Linked DNA regions of Drosophila melanogaster. The gene in region 2 interacts genetically with the main gene of each other region. Each region holds a gene or a part of one and is shown on either strand. Other genes may lie near its edges.

Evidence for each region. A genetic interaction does not mean that the proteins touch.
Region 1: of ref(2)P (region 2) and Su(P), changing one suppresses a phenotype caused by changing the other (phenotypic suppression), as found in Drosophila melanogaster (one study listed by BioGRID).

Annotation. Positions count from the first base shown.
Region 1 is NT_037436.4:16,609,358-16,613,907, forward strand, and holds Su(P) (suppressor of ref(2)P sterility), read right to left. Parts: upstream 2,843-4,550; 5' UTR 2,761-2,842; coding exon 2,006-2,760; intron 1,942-2,005; coding exon 1,535-1,941; intron 1,473-1,534; coding exon 1,381-1,472; 3' UTR 1,305-1,380; downstream 1-1,304. Other genes in the region: Prosbeta6 (proteasome beta6 subunit), read right to left, coding at 179-797, 873-961; CG4101 (uncharacterized protein), read left to right, coding at 3,219-3,482.
Region 2 is NT_033779.5:19,540,045-19,546,860, reverse strand, and holds ref(2)P (refractory to sigma P), read right to left. Parts: upstream 4,394-6,816; 5' UTR 4,045-4,393; coding exon 3,873-4,044; intron 3,242-3,872; coding exon 1,760-3,241; intron 1,705-1,759; coding exon 1,559-1,704; 3' UTR 1,313-1,558; downstream 1-1,312. Other genes in the region: CG10337 (uncharacterized protein), read left to right, coding at 50-214, 436-658, 725-1,056; CG13081 (uncharacterized protein), read right to left, coding at 5,518-5,572, 5,635-5,812, 5,868-6,168.

The DNA of each region.
Region 1 (4,550 bases), on a different chromosome or scaffold from region 2:
TTTATTTCTAGGACCAGCTGGTCACACTAGGCCGCATATTTTAAATCTCAAAGATTCGGTTTATTACGATGTTTTGTTGTTTTGGGTAAATACAAAAATTTGAAGCCAACTAACTTAGAATGCCTGGTTTCCACCGAATGCCCCTAACCAAAAGAAACGGCAACATCCTCGCCACAGGCTAGTCCTGACGCAGCGTCAGAGTTCGTACTTCAATTCCATCTTTGGTTATGATGTTGATCAGCACAGAGTCGCCGGTGTAGATGTCGCGCTCAGCGGCAGAGATGAAGGTGTCGGAGGCAACGCTCACGGCCCGCTCCTTGGTTAACTTGATCTTGTCGGCGTCTTCCAAATTCATGTTCTTGTGACCAATCTGGTTGTCCAGCACCGGTTGCAGCAGGGTGCCGGCAGTGCCGCCGGCGCGGTATGTAGCCTTCTCGCAGTGACCGATGGGATCGTAGGAGTAGACGACGCCCTTGCCCTCGTTGTCAATTCCAGCCAGAATGTTCGACACGTAGTACGGGAAGAAGCGGCGATTGTACATGGCGATGGAGAGCATCTGGGCCACGGCCTCAGTGGTCATGGTGCGCAGATGGGTATGCTCGTAGCTCTGCATGCGCACCTTAATCGATCCGGTCAACGAGAGCGTGTCCGCCCAGCAGCCTGCGGAACCCAACACTGTCTGGGGCGAGAGTTTAAAGAGTTTACTCTGCGTTCGCGAGTGAATGTTGTAGCCGCTGCTCAGGCGGGTGTCCGCTGCAATTACGGCAAAGTCATCTCCGGCGATGGCCACAATGGAGCTGTAAACAGGGAAGACTCCGGTTAGATGGAGACATTCTTCCACATCTCGATTCCGCTGGGAAATAGCAACTCACCCGCCATTGGACTCGTAGGGCGAGAAATCAGGATGCTTCATGCCGGGCACCTGGTAGTCCGGGAATTGCTCAAAGCCCAATCTGCTCATGTTTTGTGCTGAAATTCACCAATTAACTCGCCAAGTAAAAAACCAACGAAATGATTTGCAAGTTTGCAAGCGGCTAACCAAAATCACAAAATCAATGTGACCGTTGTTGAGCATCGGATCCAGCCTGCTTAAACGTTATCGATAGGTATACATACGTCGGTTTGGGATATTTTTATTAGCAGGAGGTATTTATTTAGTAAACATTTTTAATTTAACATATAAATAAAATAACAATATAAAACCTAAAATTAATTCCAATTTGTACCATAAACTTGCACTCCTTACGCGTTTTTGACCAAATATATACATTCAGATACCATAAACGAAACGGCAAACTAGATTTGATTAAAATGTATATTTTAATGAACATTTCGGTTATTTTCAACAATCTTTGGATAAAATAAGGGCAAATATTTGTTTTAAGCTATAGCGGCCATGTTTTCAATACGTTCTCTTTGCAACTGCCCACGATTCTTCTCCACCAACGCCTTGACGTCATAAAACCATTTACCTGCGGAAATATGTAAAAAGTTCGTAAAAAGGTACAAAACCCGAGAAAGAAACCTTATTTACCGATGCTGGTGTTTTGCAGACAATCCTTGAACGTCTGACACCCCTCCATGCTTGAAAGCACGCCGAAAACCGATAGATCAGCCAGACTTGGCTGTTTTCCGCCCATGAATTTCGTGTTCCTCTTTTTCAGCTCAGTGGTCCACTGGTCAAGGGCATCGTACATGTGCGACCTGACGTCGTCGCTGAGGGCGTGACGGCGCTTCAGCATCTTGGCTATGGCCCACATGGCGGTGGCACCACAGTAAACCATCAGGTCGCGCTCCCATTTGGGGAAGTGAACGTCCCACTCGCCAGCTTGCGAGAACCACTCAAAAGTCTCTAGGGACTCGCCCATGGTCTGATAACAGTTGGGCGATATTAGATGCACCAAGTGGCTGTCGGCCCAGCTTCTCCACTTGCGATCGGTTCTAAGAACAGACACTCAAGGTTAAAAGATTTGATTAAAAGATTACTTGACCCTGGTTAACTTACTCATCCGTTTCCTTGGATACTCCCTTGGGCGTATGCTCGCGGTACATGAGGAAGTATTTATTCAATATGTCGTTCTTCTTTTTGCCATCATCGTCGAAGAAGGAGGTGTGCGGATAGAACTGTGCCAGCTCGCCGATGTCGGTGCGCTTGTCCTGCAGGTGGGTGGCTATAAGGGATATGATGGCACTTGAGTCCACCATCTGGACGTATTTGCCGTCCTGCTGTCGGATGAGCACCATCGGCACCTTCTTCACCGACGACCAGCGGATGTCCTGCCGTAGGACGGCATCCACTTCGACCACCGCATAGGATATGCCCATGTAGTCGAGGAAAGCGCGCACCTTGCAACAGAAGGGACACGTCTGGAACTGGAACAGCACAATGTCCAAACCGGACGTGTCCTTGGGGTTGACATAGCGCTTGGTTATCCGCACTCCAGCCGGAATCCCGTCCAGCCGCGTCGGCTTCGTCTCCTCGTGCTCTTTGTGCGAGCTGCCGTCTGTCCACCGCTGGTACATCGTATACACCGATCCGGTGGCCGCGCCTACGGTGGCCCCCAAAACTGCGAGCTTGAAAGTTCCATTCGGCTTCTTTCTGCCTCCGCCGTTTTCAACCGCTACAGCAAACTGGCGGCGTGCGAATGCAGCATCCGGATTCCGTTTAGTCAACAGGCGCAAGGCTCCACCTCCGCTTGCTGCCGGCGGGGGACGGACCCCTGCCAGAACGGTGGCAGACGCTAGCCGAATACATGACATAATTCGCACGTTTGTTTTGACTTATACTTAATATTATGCAAAAATTAGCGACTTATCAGCCGCGACTATGAGACCAGTGTGAAAAAATACCAAGACTTTTGTAGGGCTCCGGAATATACCATAAAGTTTTGAACATACCTTAAACGGTAACCCTGAAGAATGTGTTGGGGATGGGATATTTATTTCACTAGTGTTAAACTTTATAAAATGTATTTAATAATCCAGGTAATTGAATTTAAATAAAATCAAGCGAAGATTTTGTGCAAGCCTTTAAATACTTGCCGTTAATGAGCTAACAACCTTAAAACTTTGACCTAAAAAAGTTATCGATAGTTTCCACCTGAACTGTTGGTTCAGGGTACCATCTCTACCCAATACAAAAAACAAACTTTTTGTAGTTGTTATTTTTTTTTGTCTAATCCTCGCGGGTTTTGTTTATAAACAATACCAGCGCAGCGATGTCGGCTTCCGCGGACAGTCTGGGCGCCGCCGCAGCCCTGGACAAGTACGGCGACGAGGACATCTTCAGCTTGCTAATCCGATACGGGCTTTATGTGGGTGCTCTCTTCCAGTTCGTTTGCATTTCGGCCGCAGTATTGATGGAGAATAACCCGGATGGCCAAAGTAATCCGGAGTCCGGCGAAGTGACGGAGCGGGAGGGCGAGCCGGTCCGGACGCGCCTGCACAAGATTCGTAAGCTGGAGAAGAAGAAGCGACGATAGATGTAGCCATCCTTAATATATACATATGTAGCTAGCCTAAGAACTCTCGAATTCATTTATTAAGATAATTGTAATAAAACCTAGTCGACAACGATTAAAGTAGAAGCCTGCACACATTTGAAAACTCCTTCATGGGATTCCTACAGCAGGCTGAGTCCTGGAATGGACTCATTTACTCATTTAGGCACACCTTGAAACGTGATTTGAAATCTCTTTTGGTTTCGGTGGCATTCCCAGCGTGTGAATCATCTCCCCAGCCCTTGATCGACGTTTTTTGGGTGAGGTTGCCGCCCTGGCACGATTTTTTGCACATGACTCAGGGGGGAGCTGCACGCCCCCTGAGAAAACCACCGCCCACAGTGGAAAAACTGCTGATTTGTTTGGCTGTTATCTTTAATTTGGGAATAATATAAATTATAATAATCGTATAGTTATTATGTTGCTTGCAATGTTGTTGTTTCTTGTTTTACTTCCCTTTTAACTATGTACGTATGCATGTGTGTAGTGTGTGTGTGTGTTGAATGCTTTCTCTCTCTTTTTCTTTCTCTTGCTCTTTCTATATATATATATCAGTGTATATATAGTAGAGTCCATGCCGAAGGATGCACAGACAATTATCACTATGAATTATTATTATTTTTATGCAGTATTTAGTTTTCGTTCTTTTCATGAATTTTGCGTGGAATTACATTTTTAAGTCAAAACTCATTGTGAATCTTCAGTTTTTTTTTTTTGGGGCGCAAAAGGGGCGTGGCAGGTCAAGGCGGTGAAGGGATATCTCGTTTCAAAAACGATCAAATTTTAAATACAACAACTAGTTAAATGGATATCGAAAAAAAGGGTCTGGAAAGGAAGGGGGATTACTTCGCGGAGGATCGACGAATGGTTAAACATATCTGTATAATAGGATAGCGGATCTCTAGGCCCAGAATGTCTAAATGTGGCTATGTTAAATTCGAAACTCTCGGTACAGTTTTATTTTTCGGCGTTACGCTATTTACTCGTACTTTTTCTTGTTTTCTAATTCGCTTTATCGTTATTTTTATCATTATCATCATCAGTGTTGTT
Region 2 (6,816 bases):
TCACGTAGCAGATAAGTGATTTTCGCACAGCTAAGACATCCTCAGCATAATGACAACTGCCGAATTGCAAGGTTCCTATGGAGGCCTCTACTTTGGCTTCTGCACACTGATCTCGCATGTGCTTCTGGCGGGGATCACCGTAGCCATTGTTTACAAGTGTCTGGTGCTCAAATTGGTGCACACCGCCGGACATGCCTTCTACTGCACAATCGGCGTAAGTATTTTGATTTCGGATATTAAAAGATTTAGAAACATATGTGAAAAAGTGAAAGTTTGAGGCCACGGTTAACAAATAATCTAATGGTTTCAAGGATATATATTTCTCGAGTGAGAGTTTTCTGTACCCGGAAGACCTAAATATAAACTGGTTTACTATCTCCTGAAATTTTTACCCGTCCTAAATCATTGTTCCATCTATCTTCTATTTCATTATAGTTTGTGTTTTTCATGGGCGAAGCATTGCTGGTCCGGAATAGCGCATATTTGGAGTCCTCGTTGGGTCCATTGAACCTCAACCGCCTGCACGCCGTCCTGGGGCTGTTGGCATTCCTGGTCGGAGCCGGCGGAATCGGAATCAAGACATGGCAGAAGCTGGAGCGCAAACGGGAAGACCCCAATGCCACCGTTCGTCACTTTAAGAGCAACCATGCTTTTTACGGTGTGTTCTCGTCGGTTCTTTTCCCAAATATAATGATAATTTATGCCTCCATCTTTCGCCCATCAGGTATAATCGGTTGTGCTCTTCTTCTGGGTAGCGTTCTGAGCGGTCTTCCGCTGTATTTCATCAACAGTGGCTTCGCCTTGAAAATGCTTCATCGATTTTTCGGATTGTCCGGATTCCTCGTTCTGATGGTATCTCAAATGTTCGGATATAACACGGGATTCGGTCGGCGACAGTGGAAGGCACACCACCAGAAGCTCTTCAAATTTTTCACATTTATTGCCACCATTACGACTGCAAATTACGAACTCCGGAGATTTGTGCGAGATGTTGCCGGCTTGGCGACAGACTATTTTATTGGATCAGATGCAGCAGAAGCTAGAGAAGATCTTTGAGGCTCTTTCGACAAGCGAGTAGTGTTCACACTGGAATATCAATACTACAGGAAACGAATCGAATTCCGAAACACAGTATTGTGGATTTGTGTATCACTCAAGAAATAATTCGAGTGCTTTGCGGATTTGAACTCTGAAAAACCAGAATCGATTTATACCATACGTATAAACACATTATCTAAGTGGAGGAGGCTTTTGTTGTCTGTCAATCGTACTCTACTAAACAAAACCATATCAGGTATAAAGCAGGCATTTTAAATCATTTTACTTTGTGCCTTTATTGCAATTTCACACATACATATATATACGATAACATTTTGTTGATTATTTAAAACATAACATATATCTATTTTCACATTTATTTTGGCTACGAGATAAATCTAGCACCACAGAAAAACTAAGCTACGTAGTAAACTGATACGATAAAGTAAAATCCCTTTTTCATTGGGTTCTATAGATATTGAAGATACATTGTAGATATATCGATATTGAATATGAATATTTAGTTGCGGTTCTGCGATACGTTCATTACGTCCAAGGCAGCTGAGATATTGCCCTGAACCGACTCTAGGAGCTGGGTTAGCCAGGCGCCCTCGTTGCTGAAACCCATGGCCATCATGGCATGGATCGATTTATTGATGCTTTCATCTAATTAGGAGACATAATTAATACAAAGCGATTAGTTATTTAATTCGGCACTTACCAGTGTGGTAGACGGGGACCGTGCGCTTGTCGTCGGGAGCTGCTGGGGAGGTGCCGACGCTATTGGTGGTCACCGATGTGGTCGAGGTCGATGTACTCACCGTATCAACTTGAGCAGTCTGGGTGTTGGCCGAAGCCTGCTCCACGCGAGCCTCCTCATTCATGTGCTGACGCAATAGTTCGCCCAGCTGACCAAAATCACGCACCGGCTCCTGAGGAGCAGCAGTGGGATTGGTTGTGTCCAGATTGATCAAGTTACTATTGTTTGCAGAGTATGCATTGTCAATAAGCTGCCACTCTGGATCCAAGCTGTCTGAACGGCGTCTTTCCTGCTCTGTTTCGGTGGTGGTTTCCGATGGCTTAGGATTCAGGGGCTCTGTCTCAAGCTGAGCATCAGGGATCGAACCAGAAATTGATGGAGTGGCCGACTGGTTAGCAGATGGGACATTAGACTGATTAGCCGATGGAGCGGCAGAGGGAACAGCTGACTGGTTGGCCGAGGATGCCCCCGACTGGCCACTGGATTGACCCTGCTCTTCTGGTTTCTTATTCTCAGCACTGGGAGTCGTTGAGGGCGCAAAAATTCCCGAATCACCGCCCTCAGTGGTATCGATAATCTTGGAAAACATTTCGCTGAAGTTATTAAGGATTTCGATGCCAGCACTCATGTACTCGGGTGGCACAATCTGCGAAATGTTATCCAGATTAATCACTGGAGTAGTTGGCTGAGTGGAACGTGGAGTCGTCACTGGATCTTCGGTTCTAGGGACACTTTGATCAGTGTTAACCTTCTTCGGCTCAGTTGGTTTGGCCTCGGATTCAGCTGCCTTTTCAGCGGTAACAGTGGGCTCAGCTTGTGGAGGACTTTCAGTTTGTTCTGCAGCCTTCGGTTTCTGCGGTTCGGCTGGTGCCGTGGCCGTTGTTGTGTTCAGCGGCAAGTTGGTCATCATCTCGACAAACTGAGTCAAGACTCCGGCATGGCGGCGGGCCTGACGCCGTTCACGGCGACTATCCCTTGCGGGTTCGCCAGCAGGATCTGCCTGGTTCGTCTCCTGAAACGGGCAATGTCCCCTGGAGCGCCGGCCACTGCGGCGTCCCAATCCTGGACCTGTGAACCAGGCATCGACCATACCGGGTCCATTGTTGGTCGGCATGCGTAGCATCAAGTGCTCAGGATGCTTGTGAGCCAACTCGCATTTCTGGCAAAGATCATAGTTGCTGCACTGAACGCACTTGTAGCGGAACCCAATCAAGGGAGCCAAGCCGCAGCCATCGCATTCAACGGCGTCGTGGATGGTGAAATTGCTCGGATCGTCGACAGAAGGAGCTTCAGCGTTGGCCGAAGAACCCTCTTGCTTGGTGGCCTTTGGCTCCTCTACGGGCGCCAGTGGAGCCACCTGAACGTGCATATTGCTCTCGCACTTGGCCAGGAAAATCTCATAGTCATTTTGGTTGACTATTTCGATTTCATCTTTATCAGCGTCTGCAAAAGTTAGAATAGGCAAAGGAAAATAAAATCAATTATGAATCAGTGAAGTTTTGTTATCAAAGGTGAATCACTGAGGGCTCTAGTTAGACAAATTAGCTACAGTTGTGGTTGTACCAGCACAACCCGTTTGATCTATGTAAATGTATATGAGTACATGTACACATACTTTACAAATTAAAAAGCGCGTTAGATGTATTTAAAATATATATGTATAATTCGAGAATTCAGAAATATGTAAAATCAAAAATGTTTTGTATGTGTGCCATTTATGAAACAGTGCATCTAATATGTTGACCACGTTTGTACCATAAAAATATATATGTACATATTTATCAGCTAATGTGTCAACACAATTTTGCCAATGATAAGCATTGAGCAGGAATACTATCTAGGTGAATCCCTGCTTTGTTGGGCAAAGTACGCAATAATTTGGGCTGGTTTTTAAGTAACGAGACTTAAAAGCTAAATGGTCAGCACTGCTCGGACGGATGCAGTTATGTATGGAAACGAATGTACTTATACCATGCACATATGTTGCAATCTTTGCGACTCGATTGCAATTGCGAATAACTGTTTGTATGTATAGCAAACATTCACTCTGCGGCATTTTCATTGTAAAACTCACCGATCCAGAAGGTCCTTACGTCGCATTTGGGTAACTGGCGCTCCTGGAAAAGATACAGCTCGATTTCGCGACGCAATATGGTGTAATTCTGGGAGGGCATCCGCAGGTATGCATTTATCTTTTTCTGGGGTCCAGCGCCCTGGTAGGTGATTTTCAACAGCTTCTCCGGCATTTTCGCAACGTATTCTGTAGTTTCGACAGACTTTTGAATATATGTATGTATATATATCGATGCTGACGCTTTTATTCTCGTTTAACTTGTTGCGGCGAATTTATGTGACGGATTCTATTAATTTGGAGCTCTCGACTACTGCGTAGTTTTTGTTCGGCCGTTCGATTGTGTATACAAGTGCAGCTGGGTGAGAGCAGGTATATATACTAGGCGAACTAGTTGCTGGAAGGTTCTTGAATGAGTGAGGCTCAAATTGTTGCAAATCACGGTGCTGCCTGCTGGGCTGCACTAGTTAATCTATCCCCAAAATTGTATTGTAATGCCAAAGCTGGTCTTTGGCAAAGATTAATAATACTTCGGTTATCGATAATGAAAATATTTTTACGCGGCTCTATCGAACTCACCACTTTTAGTATTTTTACATTCACATTTTGCTTTACATAAAATTTCGCCAGAATATCGATATTTTTACCCATTAAAACTTCACACATACATACGTCAGTTTCTTATCGATATCGAAATCAGCAAACCCGAAATATTGAAAACCTAATCTAAAGATGGTTTTGTTTTATGAAACTTGGCAATCTAGGTAATCTAAAATGATGCCTCTGCGTTCGTAATTTTCTTCGGAACTATAAAAATGGGAGGCAATAAAACGGTCAATCTGAACTGGGGTAATTGGAGGTTTTTCAAGATGTTTTGAATTCCGTCGTAATGCATTCCCTAGTAATATTGATAGGTATCAAACTGGAGAAGGTGAAGGGTGATATTTATATCTAAAACATATAAAGGATGGCGTCCTAATCATTCAATCCTTCAAAGGATTGAACTTCCAAATCGCGAGGTTCACGTGAACATTATTTCCGAATATACATATATATCTTGATATCACACGAAATTGCCTTCACGAATCTTTACTGAATGAGACTGGATTTATTCGCGGTCTTAAAAGCTTTGAAAACAATGTCCTCATGGAAATTAATCAATCGATGATGAAAATCAAAACAGAAAAAAAACAGAAATCAATTGTCCGGGATCTAAAGAAAATAGGAATGAAAAGCATATGATTTCGGAGTTCTCAAATCGGACGATCTGCAGATATCCACTATTGGATGCCGAGTCTTGCTTGCAAATTAGCTCCGCTTTCGAGGATTCATCTCCAGACTGAGCTTTCTATTGGATTCCCAGAAAATTTTAATTTTTTTTATAAAGATAGTTGACACACTAAGTTAAAATAAAAAAAAAAAAACATCGTATGTCATGCTTTTCAATATTTATATATTTTGAATGGAAAAGTGATGGATGTTTAAAATACCAAGTACTGTACAGTGATTTTGAACTTTTTAAATATTGTTCAGTGGAACAGCACCAATGGGATCAACGGAAATTTAAATTCGAAGAATGATTTTATTTGCTATGTATTTTCCAAGAACTTAGGACTAATTTCTTGTCATAGTATCTAAAGATATCATTTTAGGCCTTAGAACTTTTGAGCATCTTAAGCAATTGGAGCAGTTGAGTTGGAGATCTGAGCAAAAACCATCTTTTAATTAGTTTCTAAGCAGAATTACATATTAGTGCTGTACTAACCGGCTGGCAGTTTGAGAAGCTACAATTTGATGTTGTCTGCTTTCCAAATTAATCTGGGCTAGCTCAGGAATCTTAGTTACGCCCTCGGTGGAACCAGAGTCTGTGTCGGTCTCAGGATCCCTCTCGTACATCTGAGTTGAATCTGGATCCGGTGTAGATTGGCGCAACAACATTTCACCTGGCGTGGAATTAGTGTTATGTCGGCAATTCGATTCTATTACAGTAGTACTCACTCAAGTAGGACTCTGCCATGGAGTAGAGCAAGCTGGAGCTCATTTGAGGCGCCATTCCGATGACGACCCCATCCACTTTGAACTGATAGTTCTCCCCACCCTTTTGCCGTTGGTCGTATAGAATGTCCTCGCGCTGAAAACCATTCTCGGAATAGTCGTCGTATAAGACGTCCAGCAAGTCGCTGATCACGTTCCTCGAATTCCCTGGCCTAGTCTTGCCGCCAACGGGCTGGGCCAGAATTCTTCCAAGTGCCACAAGCAGCAGGGCGAACACAAACAGCCGGTTGGTGAACTTGCACATGATGTTGCCCAAGCGAAAAGACCGCAGGACCGATGTGCTCCAATGGCGTGCGTTGAATGATTCCAAGTTCTCGGCCGCTGTGAAGGCGAGCCCACCTGGACCACAACTGGAGACTGGAAGACCAAGAAAACCCGATTTATGGACACAGTTCAATGGCCGCCTCCAATCAGCCCAAAGACTTCCGCATTGCCAGGTTGCTGTGGGAATCTTTAGCTCCGCGCATTTCTAATGCTTCCCAGCAGCCACGTTCGAAGTCCGTTCCATTCGAGAGGAACTATCTGCCTTGTGTTCGATCTTCTCCGGCTCCTCATCTAACCCATTGTCGTTCGCAGATATCGCATTGAGTTTCAAGAAGAAACTTCTTTTTTTATTATTGTGATGAGTTATTTTCACTCATCTTGCGCCAATTTAAATTTGTTTAGTAACCCAATCTCTGTAAGCATGATTCCAAAAAAAGTTAACCCAATAACCTCAATTTGCCGCAAAAAGAAGTCCAAAATCTTTATGGCAGTGCTAATTGCCCCGCCTGCAATAGACACAGCTAGATCTCTTTCAGTTATCTAGTCTGGGTGCAGTTCTGGGCGCGGGTTCAATGACTTGGCCACAGGAAGGGGCTGGCAGCCACCTGCAAACTGGTTTCGCACATAA